Linked DNA regions of Drosophila melanogaster. The protein of the gene in region 2 interacts with the protein of the main gene of each other region in a biochemical or structural test. Each region holds a gene or a part of one and is shown on either strand. Other genes may lie near its edges.

Region 1 (5,284 bases), about 12 Mb from region 2:
TGGAAGAATTAGATTTCTCAGAACTAAAATACATCAATTCATAATCGAGCAGTAACTCGAGCAGCAAACTCGAGAATGCAGAACGGAGGAAAAAACAATCATCGATGTCGAACAAAAACAAAACTGCGGGTTCCAACTTTCTGCAGGAGGAGGAGCTCCTGCAGGAGGTAACGAGAGCAACGAGAGGAGCAGAAGCCACAGAGGGGAACTGGCGCTGCCCCATTGCATACCCCACCATAACGTAGCAAGTTTGAATATACTCGTACCCGTAAGATTCCCGAGTATATTAGGTAGCAAAATTTTTACGAGCTCATTATGGCTCATTTCGGCGATTGTTGTGATCCTTTTATGCGCCTTCGAATGGCTTCAAATGGTTATGAGGCTATTTCTCTGTCATCCCCGCGAGTCCTTCGCACTCGTGTCCTTCCCCTGGGTCCCAAATGCGGGATAGCGAGTTTCTGGGTCCTGGATTCCCGACTCACGATATTTAGTTTGCAGTTGCGACTGCGATTTTTACTTTACTTTTGCTTTGCTCTGGGTCTTCTCGCCTTTTGGCTTCGCTTTTCCTTGGGCTTTTGGTCGCATATTTAGAAAATGTCGCCGCGTCTCCGAATGTGATTCAAGTGTTTGTCAGTGTGTGTGTGTGTGTGTGTATGTGGTGGTGCGTATCTGTGTTTTGTGCAAGTTTTTGTATCTTTCGCTTGTTGTTGATTTTTAAGACTTGGCACCGAAAATTTGGTCGGCGGAAAATGGCGCGAGCAGGGGTTGGAAAAGTAGAAAAGTAAATTTCTTCTTATAATAAGTTTATTTTGCAAACACTTGTGGCAAGCAACTTTGTTTGGTCGCCGTCGGTTTCTGGCTTAATCTACGAGCCGTTTGTGCGAATGTGGAAACTTTGACAAATATTTGCGAAACTTTCGCGAATGGCGCGGCGTTCTCGGTCTGCAAGACCCCGATCTATTTGCATTATGCATATGAATTTATTAGCATCAATTCCCACCATATTTACATTGACATTAATATCCCATTGAAAGTATTGGCGAACGGATTGAACATTTGGATTCGAATGCGAATTTGAATTTGAATAGGAAAAGGAAAACCGCAGCACACAAATTTTCCGGATCCCTGGCTTCTATTACCGTACAATGCCGAGTTGGGGTTGACTTATTATCAATAAACTAATGCTAAACACGAGACTTTTAATAAATAAAAAATAATGTCTTCATTAATATATTATAATTCGTTTTTAAAGGCCTAATAAAGCCTTTAAGTGATAAGTATCTTTTTATGCCATACCACATTGAATTAAGCTTATAGTTTTTGAGGTAAAGGTAAAAACGATTAATTTACTAATATTTTTCTAAATTGTGAAACAATTTATACGATATTTACTTCCATAGAAATTAAATTAATAATTACAATATTCCGACTATTCTAATAAATATATTTTTTAAAACAAAAACTTTTTTGCACTTCGTTGTGTGCAAATTATTCCCCAAAATATTGAACAATTAAATAATGACCAGCTTAAACTGAATAGAATTAGATACAAATAATTTGCGTAAGCCATATTCTAGCACAAAGATTGGGAACTGAAACTGTAGTCATAAGTGCGCTAAAACCGAGCAAATACGGGATGCGCATCGTTTGGCGTGCAACTGGCAACTGGCGGGCAGCCCGTCGAGCGTTTTTCGCCACTCAGTTGAAGGAAAATCAGCCCTCCTCCATGATGAATTTCCCGCGGCGAGCGCATTTTCCTTCCTCGCGAATGAATGAACGAGAGGCGCCCACCCCGATAAACTTAAACTGAACGAACACTCAAGAGAGAGCGCAAGAGCGCTCAAAAACAATCTGGTTTTGAGCGTTTCGCTGGCTCTCTGTTTCTGTTTTCCACTCGTTTTTAGGCCGAGTCGAGTGAGTTGAGTCGGCAGAGCAAAGTCAAAACACTGGCAACTGCGATTTGGTGCCACATTCGTTCGATGGCAACGGATTGGATAACAGGCGCGCGCTTTGTTTTATTATCCACATTATCAGCGGCATTATTGTTATTATTGGCCCTCAGCGCTTTACCGCTCGCCCACGCGTCCGCCCGTGAATGCCGCGCGGAAAAGTCGCTTTCCACTAGATTGGCGTCCAGATTCGAGGAAATCCGTCAGCAGACGCATTCGCGCCCGTTCGGTCAGCACTATGGCTAATAATCGTTCAAATCGTTAAAACCATAAAAATAATAATAATAATTGCAATAACAATAAACATAGTAATAATCGTAACGCTTACGAGCCTTTGATAGTGCCAAGGCAAGCGCAATCCAAGTATTCAAATTCGAATTCAATTAACAGCAAAGTGCAATTGGCTAAAAACCGAAACCAAAACGCAACAAAGTATACGAAACACTTGTGAAACCGTACAAACAATTGTGGAAAAAAATTTAAAGATTATTAAGATTGAAGTCTCAATAAACATTAGTGCTTAAATAAATTTAAAACGACCCGCGTGGAGAGTGCAATAAAAAGAATAACTTTTGAAATAAATATTTACCAAACAGAAAAATATTTTATAAATATTTAAATAAGTGAAAAACAAATTGGTTACTCTGAAACAAAGAAAATTCAAATTGGTGCTAAAACAAAGGAGAAAAAATTTCAAGAATATTTTACAAATAATAAGACATATTTAACTATATAAAACCAAACTTAATCAACAAAGACTTGGAGTGAAAATATAAAATAAATTTTAAAAAGAGTTTAACAAAATTTGTTTAAATCCAAAGGAGGCAAAGGAACAGCACAGAAAGCGAGGAAACACTCAAATAAAATCCGCCAAAAATCGCAGATCCCTGGAAACCAATTCGTGTGAAATCGGTCAAGCCCCCAACGACTTTTAGCCCGTCTCAGACGGAGCACCGCCAAGATTCTTACCGCCAGCAGCGCAATGAACTCGTACTTTGAACAGGCCTCCGGCTTTTATGGCCATCCGCACCAGGCCACCGGAATGGCAATGGGCAGCGGTGGCCACCACGACCAGACGGCCAGTGCAGCGGCGGCCGCGTACAGAGGATTCCCTCTCTCGCTGGGCATGAGTCCCTATGCCAACCACCATCTGCAGCGCACCACCCAGGACTCGCCCTACGATGCCAGCATCACGGCCGCCTGCAACAAGATATACGGCGATGGAGCCGGAGCCTACAAACAGGACTGCCTGAACATCAAGGCGGATGCGGTGAATGGCTACAAAGACATTTGGAACACGGGCGGCTCGAATGGCGGCGGGGGTGGCGGCGGAGGCGGTGGTGGCGGCGGAGCGGGCGGAACAGGTGGAGCCGGCAATGCCAATGGCGGTAATGCGGCCAATGCAAACGGACAGAACAATCCGGCGGGCGGTATGCCCGTTAGACCCTCCGCCTGCACCCCAGATTCCCGAGTGGGCGGCTATTTGGACACGTCGGGCGGCAGTCCCGTTAGCCATCGCGGCGGCAGTGCCGGCGGTAATGTGAGTGTCAGCGGCGGCAACGGCAACGCCGGAGGCGTACAGAGCGGCGTGGGCGTGGCCGGAGCGGGCACTGCCTGGAATGCCAATTGCACCATCTCGGGCGCCGCTGCCCAAACGGCGGCCGCCAGCAGTTTACACCAGGCCAGCAATCACACATTCTACCCCTGGATGGCTATCGCAGGTGAGTGTCCTGAAGATCCGACCAAAAGTGAGTGTCCACTGCAGCACAAGTCCACTGAAAGTCCCCCGAAATCCCATCCCTTCTGTCCTCATCCCTGCAGTGCCAAAGCTTTGTTGTTTTCCCAGTTGTTATCAAGCTCAACAGATTGCAGCTATGGCAACAAAAGTCATCCTGTGATTAATTGCCGTCTCTGCTCCAATTAACAGACAAGTCAACATGTAAGGCAATATAATGAAGAGCTCGAATCGATCATGGGAAAAACAGATAACAACTTGTAATGTAAGACATATGAAAGCAGGCAGAACAGACCTTTTTATGGCAGGTTCTTAGGGAAAAGACACAACACCTTATTGGCAATCAAAAACTTTAAGCGATTTAAAAAAAACAAAAACTAAGAATGTATTATGGTTATAGGAAGCCAAAAAACAGTCCTAGTTAATATTGTGTATATTCAAATTGGCTGAAAAGTTTAGAAAAAAAGATGTGATAATACTTGGTAAAAAAATTAAAAATTTTAATAAAAAATAGTAAAATTATATTCTTCAGAGGAAAAAAATTAGGACAAGTATTTTAGATTTATTAAGTGTTAAAAAGGCAAAAACCCCCTTGGCTAACTCAAAATTATTTTCCAATAATTCTATTTAAAGGCACCCATTTGCGTGGCCATAGTTTATTCGCTGGCCGCCAATTTCAGCGATTTAATCACTCTAAGCGAGATTTTATGGCTGTGATCTCGCTTAGAGTGATTAAATCGAGTGAAGAGCCATGAGTAGCTAAAATAAAAAAATAAAAAAAACCAGCTCAGACCCTTCGATTTCACCTGCTCCGCTCCGCGACACCTTGCAGCGCTACGTCTGCCTCATAATTTTCAACACTTTGTTTACTAATTTTTGTCACCTTTGCTTTTAATGATGCTCGGCGGTAATTGTTGCAGCGCTGGCAGCCCAAGTGAGCTGCAATTTGTGCAACAAGAGAGCGGCAACGAGCAGCGTGAGTTATGGCATGCGGCTTAAAAAGAGCTGCAAAATAGCAACGGAGAAGTCAAGAAATAGCAAAAGGCAGCAAAGGCAGCCACAGGAGTCGGCGAGAAAGGGCAAGAATCCTTTCAGGACACACACTGCGCGCAGAAGTCGCGCTTATTACGGTTAACTACGCCATTATGTAATTACGTTCAGCCCCTCACCGCTCGACTTTTCCACGGGTTTCAGTCACCAGCCGAGCGAGGCGAACGGCTTGCGTCTGGGCCGAGATTGCCGTTTGGGCCAAGAACAAAGCCAAGAGTAGGTCAGCCGAAGGAGGTCTAGGTGCTCGAAGATCGAACGTAAACTGCACTCAAGCTGGCACTAAAGAAATAGGGAAAATAGAGGGCTTACAAGTTATTATTTTCAAATTAAATAAATTGTTAACTTACAAATTATTACTTTTTTTTTAATTGTTCGAAAGACTCAAAAAATTATTTGTATTATCCGCTAATATTTTTTGTCTGTGTATAAAAGGGAGCTTGCAAAATACCCTTCAAAAATCAATCAAATTTCACTTATAGCCAACGCGAAGAGCTGGTTAAAAAACAATTAAAGTTGAACTAAATTCGAGAGCCTTGCGACAGGTTTTCCA
Region 2 (7,414 bases):
CCACTCATGAAGTCAGTGGACTCCCTACTAATCGGCATCGAGACCGCCACGGAATCGGAGTCAGAGGGTGAGTTGGTTTAGCAATTTGAGGGGAATAATCTTTTCAAACTGATGCTGATGCCTTTCCAGACGAAAACTCTCTGCGCATGGACTGGGAGGCGGTGCCCAGCCTGACACCGCAGCCGGAGCTGGCGGATCCCAATCTGATGCCGGCGGCCAACCAGCAGTCTACCATCGCCTTCGTGCGAATGGCGGCCACATCGGTGCTGCGCTGGATCAAATGATCGCAGACCAACAGACGTCCGATCTTTCGGCTATATCATCATGAGACACGCGTGTTATCTTTTACAAATTAGACTAAGTAATCGTTTCTGTGACAGCACGTCGGTGTTTATCGGCAGTTGCTGGTTTTAGCGTTATCCTTTGGTTTACAGAACTAATTTTGTATCAATTATATATATACATATATATTCGCTGTGTGTAAAGAAAATGCGCCTTTTGGATTTATTTCTATTACATAACTTATTCGCCTTTATTTAATAAAAATGGTTCTCTATAAATAAATATATATAAATTTGCTTTATTAATGCTTGCATAGTACACTGACTTAGTAGGTAAACGACTCAATGAGAAACAATAATTAAACTGGTGCAATAATTGGAAAATCGGCAGACACAGCTGCGAATGAAACCTACCTAGAATCAGCACTAGAATCTTAGATTAGAATCGCAAGGGAACGAGCTGAGTGACCCTAGCTAAATGAACTTTGTGGGCAGTTGTTGCGTGGATGGGCGAGCAGCTCCAGTCGTGGTCACCACATCGCCGCCAGCGCTGGGCTGCGGCAGGCTGGGTTTAACGAATACTTGTGGCAGTGTGTTGGCAGAGGCTCCCACCTGGGCGGCGGACATGGAGACGGAGCCGTTGGCCAGCAGGTCGTAGCGCGGCGAGGCGTGGCTCATCGTGGAGAGCACGATGGCGGCGGCCATCGCCTCCTGGTTGTAAAAGGCCGTCACAGCAGCCGGAAGGGGCTGCTGTGCGGCCGATCCCGAATGTCATTGGCGCGTGGGCGTACTGGGCGCTGAGGATCCCATTCCTCCGCTTGCGCCCTTGACGCTGTTCGGCGAGAAAGCCGCTTGAATGAATTGCTTTTCCATTTCCTTCAGATTTGACATAGTTTTCATTATATGCGGATCGGTGAGATCGTACACTGGACCCAGCGTTCTTGGGCTATTGTAGATATACATGTTATTCGCGCTGTAGCCCAGGGATCCATTTACCTGCCCCACCGCACCCAAAGACGACCGACCTCTGTTCTGAGTCTTGTTCTTGGGCTTAGACTGGACTTTCTTTTGGGGCTTAGAGGCAGGAAAAACTCCCACAATCTCAACGCCATCCGACTCGCTGCTGCTTTCCCTGGCTACCGACGTCGTTTGCGCGGCCTTTGAGATGGCGGTGATGACAGTGGTGGTGGCAGCTAGCTGCTTGGACGTCTGAAGTATATCGCTGGTGCATTGATAGTCATCCAGGTTGATCACATGGGGAGAGGGCCGAGCTCCCACAATCACCTTGGCTTGGCCGTCTCCAGAATGCGGACTGGGATTCCCGCTGGCTGCCAGGGAGGCGGCCGTGATCAGATTGTAGAAATTGTTGCTGGTGTTAAGGTCAATTTTCCGGCTAGGGGATGCCAGATCCAGAACCGTACTGGCGGCTGCTACGGCGGCGGCATTGAGTGCTGCTGCCTGAGCCGAGGTGCTCGGCATGGAGAGCAGCGTGTCCAGGTGGGGCAGGTGGTTGTTGTTATTGCTAATGGCTGGTATACTGACGGCCGCCGTGGCAGCCGGCGCCAGCTGGAATTGCGGATGCGGAGTAAGTTGCGGTTGCAGCGGTACCTGCTTAGCCACCTTTTTCTTTGGCGGCTTGCTGGTCTGCTTGGGCATCTCCTTCAGCTTTCGCTTCAGACTGTTGGAGGAGGCACTTGTAGCTGAGTCCGTATCGGAGTTACCTCGAGATCGAGGGTCCTCCACTGCCTTTAGGTAGCTGCTTGCCGGCGGCATTTGCTCAGGAGCAGATACAACTCCAACGGGCTTGGGCGATGCGGACGCCGGCGGTGCCTTTGGCTTCTCCTTTGCTTTCAGCTTGGCGTTCTTGTAGCGTGTTATTTCCCTTTGCAACTCATCCAAACGCATCCAGCCTGGCGGCCACAGTTCCACCACCTTTTCCTTGAGATACCAATTGATGAACTCCTCCAACGATTCCTTGCGCTTGGCTAGGAAAGCGTAGGACGTCCAACGCGCTTGGTACACATCGTACAGCAGATGGCGTAGCTCGCTGGTCCACTGGAACTTCTTACGCGGCATTTTGGGCGGCAGTTCGGAGTTCACGTCCGCAGCTCTGAAAATAATAATCATAATCTAAAGGAACCTAATCGTTATTTCGCTTAACAACAATCTTACGCCTGTTCAGCAAATGTGCGCAGTTCCGTCTCATAGTTGGCCACCGCCTTAGGCATGACCACAGCTACAGCCCGCCGCAGCTTCTCCAGCATAATGGTGGACTTCCTCTTCTCCTCCTTCGCCCGCACTTGTTTCCCTTTGCGCAGCATGTAGTACTTGGGCAGTTGCAGCTGATACTCGATGTGGGAGAAGACCATGTTGCGCTCGTTGCGGTCCGTGCACAGCACCGCCTCGTACACCCTGGTGTAGGTTAATGGATATAAGCCTTAAATCTGTACTTGATGTTTACATCGGCTGCAAACTCACCGAAGCAGTAGTGGCGAAAGCTTCACATCCAGATTAAACTTCTTGCCGCACATGTCTCGACTCTTCACCGCTTCTTTGAAGCTGTTGACTGCGGTCACAATGTCCGCATCCAATGTGGTGGGGAGCAGAGTGTCGGCGGTGCGAAGATCTTAAAAATGAACACGTGAAAGGGTGATTTCAACCAACTAATACTGTATATGTAACTCACTTTCCTGCCCATCCTTGCCATGCTGACCGGCCTGCCTATCTGCCCGGCCGTGCTCAGACTCCATATCGCTGCTATCGCTGCTGGACACGTCGGTGGAAACACACTTCAGCTCGCCGTTGCCGACGCCCTTGACAGCTGCCGTGCCGCTCTGCGACTTCAGGAAGCTGTCTCGCTTGGCCTTTAGCATGTCCTTGACCGTTGTGGTCTTAACCACCTTCTTTAAAGCTTGCGCCTGGGCCTGACTCTGCGGCAGGGACTGAAGCTGACTTGATGGCTGAGTCTGGATAGGGTCTTGGCCGTCTTCCGTGTCCGAAATCTCCACCGTGCTGGGTCGTGGCGAGTTTGAGGATGAGGAAGTGGTGATCGGCTTAGTCGGCGGCTTCTTGCCACTCGTCAAAGAACTTGAGCTTGGTTTGGACTTGCCCGTAACGATGACCTTGGCCCGCTTAGCTTGATGATTGTCTTTGTACTTGCTGCTGGATTTGGCTGTAGCAGCAGAGTCCTCGTCCTCAAGACTTTCACTCTCGGAGTCGTCTTCGGAGTCGCTTTCATCGTTCTCCTCGGAGTCGTCCTCGGAATCGCTCTCGTCGTCCTCCTCATTGTTGCCATCATCGTTTTCGTCATCATCGCCCGAGGATGACGATGAGCTTTCCGAGCTGGACGAGACCATGCGCTTGCGTGATCGCTCTGGCATTTTGATGATGGCATCTGTTCGAGTGGTGTAGGACTTCTTGGTGAGGTTCTTGAACTCCAGTGCGCCACAGTTGATGTAGAAGCCGCCCTCCAGAGTTTCCGCCTCCTCCGGTATGATTTCGTCGTACTGGACAGAACATAGAGTTTAAGGTAAATAATTTCAGTGCATTCGTCGGAAATATTTCTTGTTCTTACGGCTTCCGTGTTGTCGATGAATGAGTCCGACTCATCGTAGCCCATTCCAATGTCCCGGTAGTCGTCCTTTTTGCTCTTCCCCCTGCCTGTGGCATAGGAGTTGCCATACTTGGCCTCCAGCTCCTTGACGATCCGTGCCACATCGTCATCGTTGTCGGCAAAGGGATCAGTGCTTGCGGAGCCATTGGTAGTGCTCACCTGCTTCAGCTTTTTGGTCTTTTTCTACGGATTGCAAGGGTTTAGAAAGCGATCCTCCAACTGAGTTATACACTCTTACCTTTTCCAAATACAAAAGCCGGGAGTAGTTAAACTCGGGATACTTGTTCGAATCGGTCTCGAACAGATCGAGTTTGATGCGGATGCACTTGGCAGTCTTTGTCGTGGGTTTGGAGCTGTTGTCGGGTGCAGCGGACGCAGCATCAGGCTCCAGGATGTTGCTGCCGAAGCGCGAGAAGCCCGCATCGCCCTGGATGATCGAGGTGAGGGTGACGCGCTTGTGCTCGCCCCCCTTTGACATTTCCGGCGGGCAGAGTTACGGATATTCAGTGGGATAGGGTTTCCTTTGAGCCGAAAGGGCCTTCCCGCCCTTTTTTTTCGAAAGAGCCGCGTGTTCTTCGTTGCTCTTTCCCTCTCTCTCTCTCGCAGCCAAACAAAAACAACAGAGACGTCGCTGCTGCTGATGCTCCTCCTCCTCCTTTTCCGCTGCTTCCTCTTCTTCTGGGGATGTCTGTTTTAGGTTTTCTGCACGTACACCAAGCAACCACAACCACTTAATAACCGTGGCAATTTCACTCTGAGCTGCACTTTCTTGTTGTCGCCCCACAAACACTGCTTTATCAACATAAACAAATGGCGAGGACCTGCGCCGGATTGCACTACTTTAATCGCCGCCCGCTTTGCAGCTGCATCCGCCGACCACGGCCACGAATAATTGTCACTTTTCTGGGGGAATGAAAAAGTGGAAACTTTTTGGGGGGTTTCAAATTGGTTGGCTTGCCGGCACGAAAACAACACAGTCTGTAAAAGCAGCGCACCGGGGATTAAACACACGCAATCGACGCTACCAAAGGGGACATTTAAACGATTCGACCAGGCGCTTTTCGCACGGCCAGGAGCGCGATTCTTAAATTGTTTCTTGTTAAAATCCTCAACGCTACATTCTCTCCGCTCCACCCCGCACCAAAGATCCGACCCTGCTTTTGGCTTTCGCACTCGCGTTGCGCAGCACTGGTCGCGGTTTTCGCAAATTACTCCGAGCCGTTCACACTGCGCGCAGCACAAGCCGAGACTTGCTGCGGCTGGCTGCATTTGGCAATATTTAGTTGTTATGGGTGCTATGTATTTCCAAAATTCCGTTAGTTAGAAATTCATTAGCTTGGCATCTAGCTCATTTTTAAAGTAAAGTTTCGAGCTACCAAGTTGATAGGTTACGTAAAATATATAGGTGGCTTATGCTGTTGTAAGCTTAATTGTTTAAAAAGGACCCAAAATCAAAATATAATGTAAACTTTTTTATAACTTACGCGGCTCTAAAACTTTCCAACAAGTAACGAGATCTGGCTTGAAAGCGGCCAACACTCGCACTAGCTTTTGTGCATCCCTGTGCAGTGCCACATTCCACACACATTTCTGCTTTGTTTTGACCAGAACGGGCCGTTGTGCAGCACTGTTCGGCACAGCTGTTCAGAGTATGGGGCCGCGGGTGGTGGGCAGATTTTCTTGGGGCGATTCAGTATTATTTCGATTGTGAAGGAGTTTACTTCGTAGAAAGTCAAGTGCTCGCCGTTTAATTAGCGCAAGTGCAAGTGAGTCGCAGTACGTGAGCTTGGGGGCTTAATTTCATGCGCCCGCTCCACAACAAAAACAAGCGAAACGAAAAGAGTTGCATGCACAGAAATTCGAATTCGGTCGAAACTGCAAGGTGTTATTATAACGGGAATGGCCAGTGCTCGTTATCGGGTGAAAACGATTAGGATTGTGCAATTAACAAAAGTGTGCCGTGCTGCTCTTTTCACAATCCAATCCAACCCAATCCCCAACTCCCCCACCCCCAATCCCCAAGTGGCACCACACAAACACTAGCACATAAACACTTATGCTGCCTTTATGCTTGCAGCCCCACTCGAGCTCTTTTATGTATGTATGTACATATTTATCCAACGAATGCAAGTGACCGACGTCCAAAGAGCAACGTACGGGATACGGAGCTCCGACAAAGGCTTCCCGCTTTCAGTGGTCCGGTGACTTTCGCCGGAGTAGTGACTCCGTCCCAGGAAACCAGCTAAACAAAAAGCCCCCAGCCGCTCGTAAAAAAGTGTCATGAGACAATAAAGGAACTTTAAGAAAGAAAGGAAAAGCGACGAGAAGAGTGGAGCTCCTTTGTTACATCTCTGGAAGAATCGTTCGGCTCCGAAGCAAAGGTGAGTAATACTGCTTCATTACGAAATTACGGGGCCTTGTACATTTGTAGTTCCAAAAAACAACAAGGGGAAATCGTTCATATGGGAAACAAGAGACTACCATTATAAGATAAGATCAGAACTGCGACTGCTTTCTTTTATCTCAAGTGACGTAGTCCAAGGTGAACACAGTAAACACTCGATGCAAGGACAACTTAGGTTTAAACCAGTTTTCTACACTACAAATTATGCAAATGGGTTAGATATCAAAACGAACACCCGTTTTCTTATCATGTCTACAAGTTTCTTTGCAAGAAAAAAAGGTTAGCTACTGAGAGTGTTGCCCGTAGCACTGCTTGAATGATAAACTCTACTCCCAGACATTGAAATTCCTACACCAAAATGGAGTTACGGCAATCGACCTTGAAACATGTGGCCCCAAATGCCTTGCCAACCCAAATTGGTTTCCCATTTTCTATGAAAACTTGTGTGTTTTTTTGGTAATTCATCTATTAAAGGCGGCAGCCAGTTTTTCATCTCAAATGGACAGAAGCCGCACACAAAAATAAAGCGATACACATAAACAATCAAACAACAGCAACAAGTGAGCGCACAAATTTAATTTGCTTTTTAATGCGTCATTATTGCCGATTTGCGACATGCTCGAGCTGCTTTACTGCTACCTCTTCGCAGATTTTCGCATCCCCAAGAGGTTCGTACAGTTGCGATCGCTATCGTTATCAGGGGAGCTCTTAAACCGAATGAGCGATACTTTATTTATTTCTGCTCTCTATTTGCTTTCATGATTAATTAAATGAGTCTGCTGTAGGAGAATGTATTAGCAATAATTATGGATAATTCACCAGCCCATCCAAAGCCATTCTTAAAGTTCATTTATCCAGTAGAAAACTTTGTTACAGAGCTAGGTTCATTGATCATTAAAAGGTTAAACAGTCTTATTCATAAACATAGGAAGAAATATTATTTAATTGTGGTTCAATCCAAAAGGGATCGTTGGCCGCCTGTCGTTGATATAATCAAACCGCACTTTGTCGCCGACAATTTCATTTACTCATCGTACTTTCCCCAACCAAACTAACAAATAAACTAGAACAAAAAGAGCCGCTGGTGGTTGGCTTCACCGCCAACACGACCACCCA

The links.
Region 1: the proteins of yem (region 2) and Ubx form a complex in vitro, tested with the Drosophila melanogaster proteins (one study listed by BioGRID).

What each region holds. Positions count from the first base shown.
Region 1 is NT_033777.3:16,731,111-16,736,394, reverse strand, and holds the start of Ubx (ultrabithorax), read left to right. Parts: upstream 1-1,968; 5' UTR 1,969-2,931; coding exon 2,932-3,697; intron 3,698-5,284. UniProt on the Drosophila melanogaster protein: Sequence-specific transcription factor which is part of a developmental regulatory system that provides cells with specific positional identities on the anterior-posterior axis. Binds the consensus region 5'-TTAAT[GT][GA]-3'.
Region 2 is NT_033777.3:29,117,830-29,125,243, forward strand, and holds yem (yemanuclein), read right to left. Parts: upstream 5,051-7,414; 5' UTR 4,373-5,050; coding exon 4,133-4,372; intron 4,078-4,132; coding exon 3,856-4,077; intron 3,788-3,855; coding exon 2,968-3,787; intron 2,908-2,967; coding exon 2,760-2,907; intron 2,694-2,759; coding exon 2,454-2,693; intron 2,392-2,453; coding exon 1,053-2,391; coding exon of another isoform or gene 756-1,052; 3' UTR 501-755; downstream 1-500. Other genes in the region: Atg14 (Autophagy-related 14), read left to right, coding at 1-67, 130-284. UniProt on the Drosophila melanogaster protein: May play a key role in egg organization. May be a transcriptional regulator having a role in chromatin remodeling in concert with Hira, a histone chaperone. Involved in chromosome segregation by affecting kinetochores function in the first meiotic division.